4 linked regions of the Saccharomyces cerevisiae S288C genome follow. The gene in region 3 interacts genetically with the main gene of each other region. Each region holds a gene or a part of one and is shown on either strand. Other genes may lie near its edges.

Evidence for each region.
Region 1: mutations in PPT2 (region 3) and PEX22 together harm fitness more than expected from each alone (negative genetic interaction), as found in Saccharomyces cerevisiae (2 studies listed by BioGRID).
Region 2: mutations in PPT2 (region 3) and SPO20 together harm fitness more than expected from each alone (negative genetic interaction), as found in Saccharomyces cerevisiae (2 studies listed by BioGRID).
Region 4: mutations in PPT2 (region 3) and PEX15 together harm fitness more than expected from each alone (negative genetic interaction), as found in Saccharomyces cerevisiae (2 studies listed by BioGRID).

The regions. Positions count from the first base shown.
Region 1 is NC_001133.9:40,523-43,233, reverse strand, and holds PEX22 (ubiquitin-protein transferase activating protein PEX22), read right to left. Parts: upstream 1,058-2,711; coding exon 515-1,057; downstream 1-514. Other genes in the region: ACS1 (acetate--CoA ligase 1), read left to right, coding at 1-353; GPB2 (Gpb2p), read right to left, coding at 1,333-2,711. UniProt on the Saccharomyces cerevisiae protein: Involved in peroxisome biogenesis.
Region 2 is NC_001145.3:305,823-309,187, reverse strand, and holds SPO20 (Spo20p), read right to left. Parts: upstream 1,700-3,365; coding exon 506-1,699; downstream 1-505. UniProt on the Saccharomyces cerevisiae protein: Required to maintain the prospore membrane to the nucleus during sporulation in order to capture the daughter nuclei and form the spores.
Region 3 is NC_001148.4:271,794-274,617, forward strand, and holds PPT2 (holo-[acyl-carrier-protein] synthase), read right to left. Parts: upstream 1,023-2,824; coding exon 501-1,022; downstream 1-500. Other genes in the region: ATG5 (Atg5p), read left to right, coding at 1-401; ATP-binding cassette long-chain fatty acid transporter PXA1, read left to right, coding at 1,462-2,824. UniProt on the Saccharomyces cerevisiae protein: Transfers the 4'-phosphopantetheine moiety from coenzyme A to a Ser of mitochondrial acyl-carrier-protein.
Region 4 is NC_001147.6:245,468-248,806, reverse strand, and holds PEX15 (Pex15p), read right to left. Parts: upstream 1,658-3,339; coding exon 506-1,657; downstream 1-505. Other genes in the region: bifunctional N-glycosylase/AP lyase NTG2, read left to right, coding at 1-415; serine/threonine protein kinase PSK2, read right to left, coding at 2,005-3,339. UniProt on the Saccharomyces cerevisiae protein: Peroxisomal docking factor that anchors PEX1 and PEX6 to peroxisome membranes. PEX26 is therefore required for the formation of the PEX1-PEX6 AAA ATPase complex, a complex that mediates the extraction of the PEX5 receptor from peroxisomal membrane.

The sequences.
Region 1 (2,711 bases), on a different chromosome or scaffold from region 3:
AAGATCCAATTGTGGCCGAGTGTGCTGTTGTCGGATTCAACGATGACTTGACTGGTCAAGCAGTTGCTGCATTTGTGGTGTTGAAAAACAAATCTAGTTGGTCCACCGCAACAGATGATGAATTACAAGATATCAAGAAGCATTTGGTCTTTACTGTTAGAAAAGACATCGGGCCATTTGCCGCACCAAAATTGATCATTTTAGTGGATGACTTGCCCAAGACAAGATCCGGCAAAATTATGAGACGTATTTTAAGAAAAATCCTAGCAGGAGAAAGTGACCAACTAGGCGACGTTTCTACATTGTCAAACCCTGGCATTGTTAGACATCTAATTGATTCGGTCAAGTTGTAATGATGATTTCTTTCCTTTTTATATTGACGACTTTTTTTTTTTCGTGTGTTTTTGTTCTCTTATAACCGAGCTGCTTACTTATTATTATTTCACCTTCTCTTTTTATTTATACTTATAATTATTTATTCTTTACATACTGTTACAAGAAACTCTTTTCTACATTAATTGCATAAAGTGTCAATCAGCACATCCTCTACATCGCTATCAACAACAAATTTGACAAACCTGCCTATATCTTCAGGAACGACTGCTGCATCGCTACCACCACTACTTGTGAAGTCCCTGGAGTTCAATATGCACTGAAATTTACCTAGCCGTCTTACACATGACCATAATCCATCCATGCTATCGCAATATATGATTTTGTGTTCGTTTTTCGTCTTGCGAAAGGCATCCCCAATGGCTTGTTTCATTGATCCATCAGTGTGGCTCGTAGGTACCAGCAAAACCACTTCATCAGCGGCGTACTCCTCCCACTTTATGGGCAGTCCTTGTATCGACTTGCTCATTATAATACATTTGCTCTTCCTTGCCTTTTTGTTCTCTTTTACTGAATCACCCTCTGGAGGTCGTGCCCCATTATCTTCCTTTGCACTTGTCACCTTTTGATATATATAGTAGGACGTGACCAACACTGCTATAGCTGTACCCACTATTCCTAATGTTCTTGTTTTGTTTATTCTACTTCTTGATGGTGGTGGCATGTTTTATATCTTCTTCTTCTTTATTCTTCATTATTGTTTCATTGTCTATTTCATCAGCACAATCTTCCCTTATATTTTATTTTTTTTTTTTCGATTAATTGAATTAGGGGACTATGAACCTAATTGTTAATTTTTTGCCAAAATATTTCGCTGGTATTGCGAAGGAGATTATTCTTTGAAAGACAAAGTGTTATGTGACTATAAAACAAAACTGAATATATTATATTCTACTACTAAACAAAGTTTACAAAGTGAAAGCATTGAAAACTGCCTTTTTATGCACTAGGATTTACGCTAGGAAAAATACTTTTCGTTATGGTACCATGTAAATATATTTCTTTTACATTGCTCCGTCTAGATATCAATCCGCCAATCAAAATAATACTTTTGTCACATTGCAAAGAAGTGCCACCGACACCAACTACTATATTTGAATTTGTATCTTCATTTTCGCTATCTTGTCTGTCCTCATCGTCTTCCTTCTTGGACAGAGTAATTTTATGTTCTTCCCAACACTGCGTGCTTAAATCAATTGTGTTCAAAAAATTACCACCCAACGGTAATGTATCGACCTTGCGTTTTCGAGGAGGCTCATCATCATTCTCCGAGTAAAATTGGTCAACATCCTCTTGTACCATACCACCTATACATACACATATTCGTCCAATACTTTCCATTCTGTGGCCAACGAGACCTACGTTCACACTATCCAATTTTTCATCACCGTCTTCGCTCGAATCTGCCTTTGCAAATGTCTCTATTGGAGTCCATGTCTCACACTCTAAGTCCATCAACCACATATCATCAAGAACGTTGAGACCGTTAGACCCACCATGCAATACAACAGTTTTACCTACTGGCTTCTCTTGGCTTAAAATTAATCTCTGTCTCCCTATCGCAGTCATTGGAATAGATGACGATTTTCTCCCTGGATTGACTATATAATTTTCCAAATTATCGTCCATATCGGGATCAAAGCTCGCAGCACTTGCGCTGCTGGCCGAGGCACCAGCTTTGGGCGATTCTTGTGCCGCAGAGCCACTATTGAAAAGATCTTGATGCGTGCCATGAACCATCATGGGGAAAACCGGTTTAGGACTAACAACGCGATCCTGTGATATATATGACGGTTTTAAAACAAAATGGTTTTTTAAGTTGTTCAATAGTCTCATGTCAAGAGAACTCCTATCCATTAACGAAGTCCCATGAACAGAAAAGGCAGAAAAGGCTCTTTCTTCGGGCCAATCCGATTTGTCCTTTTCGCTTGGCGTCAGTAGTATCGCGTTAGCTGTCTCTGAAAACTTACAATAACCTTTTTTACCGCGACGTATCACGGGTATCTCTATCTTCCACAAATCATTCATTGCTTCGTAACGATCATCACCGGTTTGTCTGTAACCACCAAATATTATAACCGTGTGCACAGTATTATGAGGTAATGATGAAAGTACTGCTGCTTTTTCAAGCCGCCCGGAAGTGATGCTGCTACCTTGTTTCATGGAAGCACTCCCCATTTTATGAATTTCGTTCATGCTTGAAGAATGAACGCTAGCTCTCCTATTTGGATTATCAATAGAAATTTGTAAGTGACCAAACCTCGATGACATTGTCGGATATGCATTATATTTGGAAGGTTGTACTATGATATCTATTT
Region 2 (3,365 bases), on a different chromosome or scaffold from region 3:
CGCAGTGATTACCGGAAACCCTTCATAATGTTTTCCTTTTTCCCAACAAGATTGAACTTTGATATCGTTTTGTAACTAAAATCTTTTTTGACAAATGAAATTATATGAATTATAACTTATCAACTTTATGAGAAGCAAGTAGACTTGGTACTGTAAAAAATATAGTCCCACGACAGCGGTATCTATCTTTCTTACCCTCTTTTACTTTTCACAAAATCATGTTGATTTTTCAGTTAACCCAGTTTAAGATCATGAATGGAACGGGAAACAAATACGTAACAACTGGGAAAAACAAACCTGCCGATGTTTGAATGCACTTTATTTATGGGAAAGAGAAAGCTTTGTCTGACAACTCCGAAAGAAAATACAAAGAAGAATTGAGACCTTCAGTACTAATGTCCCCCTCGCTCTTTTTTTTTTCTCTTTCGCAAGAATATCTGCGTATGCCTTTTTAGAAACTATTTATTCAATATATTTATACACGATATTTTGTGTGTATAACAGATCACCATCTTTTCCCGATCACTTTCTCCAATCTATATCGCTTGGCCTGTAAAGCATTATCTGCCTGCTGTACATTGTTCTCGATGTCAAACATTCTAGTGTTTTGTGCTTCAAACTCTCTGCCAAAAGCGTGAGCCATAATTTTCAAGTCACCACTCACCGCTTTTATTTGTTCTAGGTTTCCGTACAAGTCGATTTCCATTTGGTTATCTTCTTCATCGGCTTCAAACTGATACTTCTGGGCATCTCTAAGAATACGCTGTCTTTCCACCCCTTGGCCATACCGTCCATATTCAGAACTTAGATTTATGGCTAAATTTTTGTCAGAATCTTGGGCTCTTTTCATAGTTTCTTGCTGTAAGTGACGATGCTTTAACTTCAAATTGTAGATCTGGTCTCGCTTTTCTCTCTCCCTTTTCTTCCTGAAGGGGTTGGGTGATTTTAATGCAAGCAGGCTTCTATTTTCATGGGCAAGTTCGTCAATCTTTCGGTCGGCTACGTTAGATTGAATTTTAAGCATGTCACAATTGCTCTCGATCTTGGTGAGTTGGTTGCTCTGACAACTTAGTTGTTGAAGAACTCTCTTTCCAGTACATCGAGCCTCTATAGCTTTTTCAAGTGTTCTGCTTGTCGTTTTTACAGATTTTAATTTAGTGCTTCTAATCTCGGACCTGAGTCTATCAACTATTTCATCCTCCTCAGGCTGGACATTCTCTAAGTTATATTGACTTTCAACTTTTCTCCACTGTGGATAGTCATTCTCATTTGCAAAATTTCCCAAATCTCTGTGAATAACGCTATCTGTTTCTCCCAAGTTTTCTTCAGGTATTTGGCACCTGTTGGACTTTGGAAAAACCTCTTCTAACGAAATAGTAGCAAGGCCATCCCTTTCGGGCACCTCATAAGAGACGCATTTATCATCACTAGTCTTAGTGGCGTCATCGAACCGACAGTTTGGGTGAAGTTGTTTGTGGATTTTATTCCTCAAGGATTTAAGCTTCACATGTAGCCTATCACGTCTTCTGCTTCCTGAACAATTGTCCATCCTGAAGGGTGATAAATATTTTGTTTCATGGGATCCTGTAATATTGGAAATAAGTACATAGCGATGATTTTGCAACTTCAGGTTCTTATGGTGCTGATTATGGTGGCGACTGTGATGCGATTTGCTAGCAAGTATTTTTCTGAACCCCATTATATATCTAAAAATGGCTATTCACAAACGGAAAAATCTAAAGTAATAAAAAAATAATAGTGTTAACAGAGAAGGTTTATCAGTAGCTAAAGCGAGCAAATTACTGGTTAACTTATCGTATTTTCCGTACTGTGGTGAATCTTATGCAAAATGAACCTGGCTTTGGCGGGAGTTTTTTTTTATGTGACACAATGGCCTTTTGCCGGTGGTAAATACGCGCTTCAAAAAGGTTGTTACACAGCGGCACATTAGCATGACACAATCTTGATCCTTTACAATTACTACACCGCCAAGTATAAAGCTTTTCCCAACCAACGTGTTTGCCAAGTAATTTTGTGTAGAGTGCGGCTGACTAACAGCCTTAACCGGGTACTCTGTTCCCTGCATTTGCATAAAAACTACAAAGAAAAGAAAGAAGGAAATACTCCGAACCAAAGAGATACAACAAGAATACTTCTCTCATTACATCGGCACCTTCCTGGGGATTAATTCCTTACAAGCGCTGAAAAAATGAAGAGATGATTCCGTACTTCAACAATGGCTTTTAACCTTATTACCCCAAGAGAGTGTCTACAGAATTAAGGCCCATTTAATTTTTACCTTCCTGTTCCTGCATAACAGACACCCCTTACCCGCATCAACAGGAGGGGAGGAAACATTGCCAATATGTCTGCGAATTGTGACAACCAATCCGCATGCACGGTGGGGGGCGGTTGAAAGCGCCTAGACTTCCCTTTTTTGGATTGCTACGTCACCTTCGCAGCGTGCACCAGGTGCATTCACCACACGAAAAGATGCGAAAGCACACCAAGCGCGAAATTCCGGTTTTTGGCTTGTTTGTTTCGGGCTCCGCCTCATCGTCTTAGCAAATCTAGACCTTGTTGAAAAATCGTGCAGGGACTCCGTACCTGCACAAGCAACGCGGCATAATACATGTAGGGATACAGCAAAGATATTGTTTCTGAATGGGCAAAACATTGCTTTCCGCAAACGGCTTTTTCTTCTCTTTCCCACCACCGTGGGTCACCTTTTTCTTGCGCCTCTTATGCCAACACACTCTTCCCGTGATGCGAATGGTAAAGAAGTTAACAAAAAACACAAAAAATTCATATTCCGATTTCTCTGCAAAGAAGCCTGAGCGGGAACTGCATGTCCGCTTGACTTGTCTTCCCTCCGGTTAGCTGTGCCTGCAGGGAAACCGCAGTAGAAGGACTGCGGAAGGATCTTTTCCCGCCGTTGATGTAATCTTTAAAGTTAATTTTTCCCTCACACAGTTTGCATTTTTCCCGCATGTTGTCCGGTTTTTCTTTCTTTTGTTGCTTTTTCTTCCGTGGGCCTGACGGAACATTCCAAGTTGAGTGCGATCTGACTAAGGAACTAGTAGAGGCTACCGCTCAGTAAGTTTAACAGTCGGCTAAGCATCGATCATCTCATTCTTTGCCTTCACTCAGTTCTTCGCAATAGTACAGTGCTGCGCAATAGACGCACGTATCAGTGATGTATTCTTTCTCTTGTCTTCACATAAAAAGTACGTAGATGTGTTGCCCGTTTGTGTTTTATTAACTTATCGAATGTGGCAAGCCGACGATACAAAAGAAAAAAGTTCATCTTTAACACTTCTTTTTGTTAGTTTTTGAAGTTTTTCCCCACTATCTTTTGCATTAGT
Region 3 (2,824 bases):
TTATGTCTTTATCGGTCAACGAAGCTCGAAAATTTTGGGGCAGTGTTATTACGAGAAATTTCCAAGATTTCATTGAAATATCTAACAAGATAAGTTCATCAAGACCGCGACATATACCGCTCATCATTCAAACCTCAAGGACATCAGGAACTTTTCGAATATCACAACCAACTATCAGTATGACTGGAGTCAATCCTACGTTGAAGGATATTGAAGGCGATATTCTGGACGTAAAGGAAGGAATCAATGGTAATGATGTCATGGTTATTTGTCAAGGAATTGAAATTCCTTGGCATATGCTCCTGTATGATTTGTATTCTAAATTGCGAAGTTTTGATGGCTTTTTGTACATAACTCTTGTTCCTATAAAAGGCGGCGATAAAGCTTCCTCTGAGCTCTAAGAGCTGTTATATACGCATTTAAAAGTGTCATTCAAATATCGCAGAAAATAACTTGGACGTTGAAAATAGGGCCACATTTATACGGCTGCAAGAAAACTTTTACTCTCTTTCTACCAAGTTTGTTACTGCAATTAAATAATCTTTATCATGGGATAGCGAAACTAAAAACTCATGAGTGGAAAAGAGAGAATCGTAGTTTTTCGAGAGCTGTTGATACTTTGGATACTTTTTTCCAAACATCTTATCAAACTCTAACTGAGGTACACCTGTATCGGTTTGTGTTTTATATAGCATTCCAGCGTACAGTACTTGGGCAGGAGGTAGATCATGCTTTGAAACACAGCAACACAACGCTTTCAATGAGCATTCCTTCAAAGCCCAAACTCCCGCTATATATTCATGCAATCGTGGAGTTAAGCAGTTTTCTTCGATGAGAAGATTACTGAAATGAAATCTTTCCTTTTCATGCATGAACTTCCGTGTTATTTTATTCAAGGTAGAACGGCCACATGGGTCGAATGGGGAATATTTCTCTAGTATATGTGCAAATCTTGGCAAGTATACAATGTCAACTCCCACTCCTGCTATCTTACGTCCAATATTCCTCGATGCAAAACTCATCACTGGAGGCATTCAAAGCTAGCACTTATGAAATAAACGTTCATTAGAAAGCAATACTCCTGATAAGAAAATAGTGCTTAGCTTCTATTCAGCCTTCTTAAAGAACTAGCTTTTCTATCAAAAGTCAGATCTCTTATGACCGCTTGAACCTGTGGAATGTATATAAGCAGTTTTGATGTTAAGATTTTTTTTTCAATAGAATTTCTTCCTTCGGAAATAATCCCGATTAAGAAATTATTCTTGACGCAATATTCAGCTATATGTTGATCGGGCTTAACCGCATAAGTTTCGTTACCCTTTTTTACCCCAATTTTTAATTTCGGCGGTTATTTTCAGCCCTTTTAGAGTCAAGATATATAAGAATGCTTCTCTAAGAAGTGAGACTAACAATGAAACCCGTTTCAGACAATCTGGAAGTCTTAGAACGCATAACACAGAAATGTCAACAACATTAGCAGCACCAGCGAAACTAAAGAGTTTGCTCCTGAATCTACATACTCACTGTATTGGGCTACACGTTAACGATGTCACACCTAAAGTATATTTCAAGTTATTGATACGGCATCTTCTACAGATATCTAGATCAAACGCTGCTCATCCTAAGCTAAGAAGAAGGGCCCAGATTTTATTGGTATCGCTTTTCCTATCTGGTGTCACACTTTTTTCTGGTGTAACATATAGTACTTTCAAAATTATTCTAAAATGTTATAAATTTTACAAGTTTCCATGGAAGAGAAGGAATAGGAGACCTTTAATAAGAAGAACAAGATCTCAAATGCAATTAGACAGTGGTGCAAGAATAATGTATATTCCTGAAGTGGAATTAGTCGACCGCCAGAGTCCCGATGACAACAAATTTATGAATGCTACAGATAAAAAAAAAAGGAAAAGGATATTTATTCCACCAAAGGATAACGATGTATATGAACACGATAAGTTTCTTTTTAAAAATGTAGAACTGGAAAGAGCCAAGAATTCGCAGTTATTCTACTCAAAATTTTTAAACCAAATGAACGTCTTGTCTAAAATTTTAATTCCAACAGTTTTTGACAAAAACTTTCTTCTTTTAACTGCTCAAATTTTTTTCCTGGTGATGAGAACTTGGCTCTCTTTGTTTGTAGCCAAGCTGGATGGACAAATAGTCAAAAATATAATTGCTGGTAGAGGAAGAAGCTTTCTGTGGGACTTAGGGTGTTGGTTTTTAATTGCTGTCCCTGCTTCTTATACTAATAGTGCTATTAAGCTACTTCAAAGGAAGTTGAGTTTAAACTTTAGGGTAAATTTGACACGTTACATCCATGACATGTATTTGGATAAAAGACTAACATTTTACAAATTAATTTTTGATGCAAAGGCGTCCAATTCGGTAATCAAGAATATCGACAACTCCATTACTAATGATGTTGCAAAATTTTGCGATGCGACATGCTCCGTTTTTGCAAACATTGCAAAGCCAGTTATTGATTTAATATTCTTTTCGGTTTATTTACGTGATAATTTGGGAACTGTGGGAGTAGCAGGTATATTTGTTAATTATTTCATTACTGGGTTTATTTTGAGGAAATACACGCCACCATTAGGTAAATTGGCAGGCGAGAGATCTGCTTCAGACGGCGATTACTACAATTATCATCTAAACATGATAAATAATAGCGAAGAGATCGCATTTTACCAAGGAACAGCAGTGGAAAGGACGAAAGTTAAAGAGTTGTATGATGTGCTGATGGAAAAAATGCTGCTGGTTGATAAAGTCAAGTTTGGTTACAATATGTTGGAAGACTATGTTTTAAAATATACATGGT
Region 4 (3,339 bases), on a different chromosome or scaffold from region 3:
TGGAGTTGGACCTAAAATGGGATATTTAACACTGCAAAAAGGTTGGGGGCTGATTGCCGGCATATGCGTCGATGTTCATGTCCATAGGCTGTGTAAAATGTGGAATTGGGTAGACCCTATTAAGTGTAAGACTGCCGAGCATACTAGAAAGGAGTTACAGGTTTGGCTACCTCACTCACTGTGGTACGAAATAAACACCGTTTTGGTTGGATTTGGTCAATTGATCTGCATGGCCAGGGGTAAGAGGTGTGATTTATGTCTAGCAAACGATGTCTGCAATGCTCGCAATGAGAAGCTAATCGAATCTTCCAAATTTCATCAATTGGAGGACAAAGAAGACATCGAGAAAGTATATTCGCATTGGTTGGACACGGTTACAAATGGAATTACAACAGAAAGACACAAGAAAAAATAGAACCACCATTCATTGTGGAAAAAGATGAAAAACCATTATGTATGTCATTAAAATAAGTAGGTAGGGTTTTATAAACTATTCAAATATTTCTCATATACTCGCTAGAAGTTTTAGCAACCCTACAATCTGGGGGTATACAGTGTGAAAGGCCGCTGGAACATGTTTGAAAATTGCCATCAATGACTTATATTTTTTCAAACATAAGAGTAGCAGCAGACCTGTGAGCAGAAGTCCGTTTTTGTTCAGCACACTTCTTGTGAAATGATGCTTCAGGACAGCCCAAAATGAACCAGCCAGAACAGTAATATCATTGTTTTTTTTACGGGGCGCCGTTCCAGTACTCTGGAGTCTACTATCAGTAGAGGTGCGTTGATTAAACGCATCCTCAACCTTAACCTGTTCTTCACTACTATTGTGTAACATAGGCTCGTGAAAATGGTGTATTTTCTGTTTCACTCCTCTTTGTTTACCTTTAGACTTCGCCTTATCTTTTTGTATTTTATTATCTATTGAGTTCAGAATAGCATCCTCTATGGAAACATCTTTAGATAAGTAAAGGCCCTTTAGGGTTGGAGATAACTTAGGTAATGTTTTGCAAAGCGCCCAATACATATTCGGTGAGGGTTTTTTATGATGCAGTTTTACCTTCACCTGAAAGATGAATATCTCGATTAATTCTTGTAAGCCAACTACATCTATAGTTGTCCTCATTTTCGTTATGTATACGAAAATGAAATCACTCATTATGGATTCAAGCTCCAGAGTTTTTTCTTCTTGTTCGGTGTGATCAGTTAAGTTAAACTGAATAACCTTGATACAGCATCGAAAGAATTTATTGATGACCAAAAGTTTACTGAGGTCACCGAGAATAATTTTTCTTGTCTCAATACATTGAGGGGTATCTAACGTGAAAATATTCAAAATCTCACTCTGCAGTGTTAAACCTAATTTGGTAAAGCTGGGCATAATATCACAGGCGCTGACAAATAAATCTAATATCATAGGGTTGGACTTGAAAACGGTAATATCAATAAATCCAACCTCAGACATTTTTTCTAGGCAATCCTTGATATCTCTTTTTATGAAAAGGTTCACACATTCTTGAAATACTTCACTCCTCTGATCATTTACCGACTTGGTCGATTCATCACTTTCAATGAATAAGTCATCGTTAAGTAAATCCCTTAGAGAAGAATCGAGGGAATGCATAGGCAGATTGTTCATTATCTCACTTGCAGCCATTATTCACAGAACCCTCTTGTATAAACCACACCGTAGTACGTTCTGCTAGTGCCTCTTTCTGTTTACCTAACTATTTCTCTTGCCTAAATATGTAAGTCTACGATGACTTTTCTATGGTACTTGATGTCACTCCGACGGCGATAAGCCGCTCAGCGCAGAAGTTTGCCCCAAAATAGAATGAAAGAAAATACTGCATAGAGGCTGGACAAGAAGGATATAGAGCAATGATATGATATTAAAAATGTAATTAATATATAGCCAAAAAAAGAATAGAACATTTATGAAGGTAAATGGTTATGAAAATGGATTAAATTATTCTTTCCCTTTATCTTGGAGAGTACGGAAAACTAGATTTTAAGCCATTTATCTTCATATATTTCATCAATAGTAGGTCTTTTATCAACTTCTCTTGTCAAAATTCTTTTTATCAAACTGATGCATTCTTCACTGACATGTTCCGATTTATCGAACCTTAATTCACCTTCCAAGATTTCATCAATGTTGTAATAAGGATTCTCTTTATAAATTATGGTATAAAGTAGCACACCAAGAGCCCAAATATCTTGTGGTTTACCTTTGTAAGAGGAACCACCAAGGACTTCAGGTGCAGCATAGTCCATTGTTCCCACAAAAACATCGAATGGTCCACTCTTGATATAGGCAGCCGAACCGAAATCGATTAATTTTACAAAGCCATGAGAATCAACAATAACATTTTCGTCCTTTATGTCTCTATGAACAATTCCTTGGTCATGTAAATGCTTTATACTAGCGACTACCTGTTTAAACACCAGTTTAGCTTCATGTTCAACCATATCTTTTTTGAATTCGATAACATCAAATAGATCAATACTACCAGTTTCTCCATGGACCGGTGTTTCAATGTAATAATAATCGTCATCTTCAAAAAAATCTAATAACTTCAAGATATTTTCTTGGGAATTTTTATTCAAGGTCGCCATAATTTGGATCTCAGAAGGTATAGTACCTAATTTTCTATCTCTCACCCATGTGTCTACTAAAATCCTCTCTTTGAAAATCATTTTGATGACCACGATATAGTGTTCTCTGTTATGAATGCATAAATTGACTTTACCGTACGCACCCTCACCCATCACTTGCAGAATAGTAAAATCAGAAAATTTCTTTATGCGCTTTTGTGAGCCTATATTAGCCTCTGGAGTAGTCAAGTACGTAGCTTTTAAAGTAGAATTTCTTTTGTCTAGCTCATTTGTTTCCTTTTTGATTTCTTCTCCGTTTATCGGTTCAATTATCCTCATTATAAATTTTTCATCCACTTTAAAGTTGTCGTCCTTTACAAATTTTGATTTGTCCTGCGTGTACATTTTCGTTAATTCAATTTTATGTTTTAACTCAGGATCATCAACCATTGTCATGTCATCGTCATAGTTATTGTTGTCATTAGATTCGATACCTCTCACTTTACCGCAAGAAGTTTCTCGTAGTTTTTCATTCACTTGATTTAAGTCTACTTCATCGTCTGAATTAGAAATCGTTTCAGCGGAGCTAATCGACAGATCAGCCATTGCCTTCAAAGTATTCACAGGAATTTTTTCCGAAGATTTCTTGGAAGATGCACTGGAACTACCTCTACTGCCAACGACATCAATTTCGTTCTCCTTTAACATCGGTAGCTGCGAAGGAACGGTGGTATAATTTTC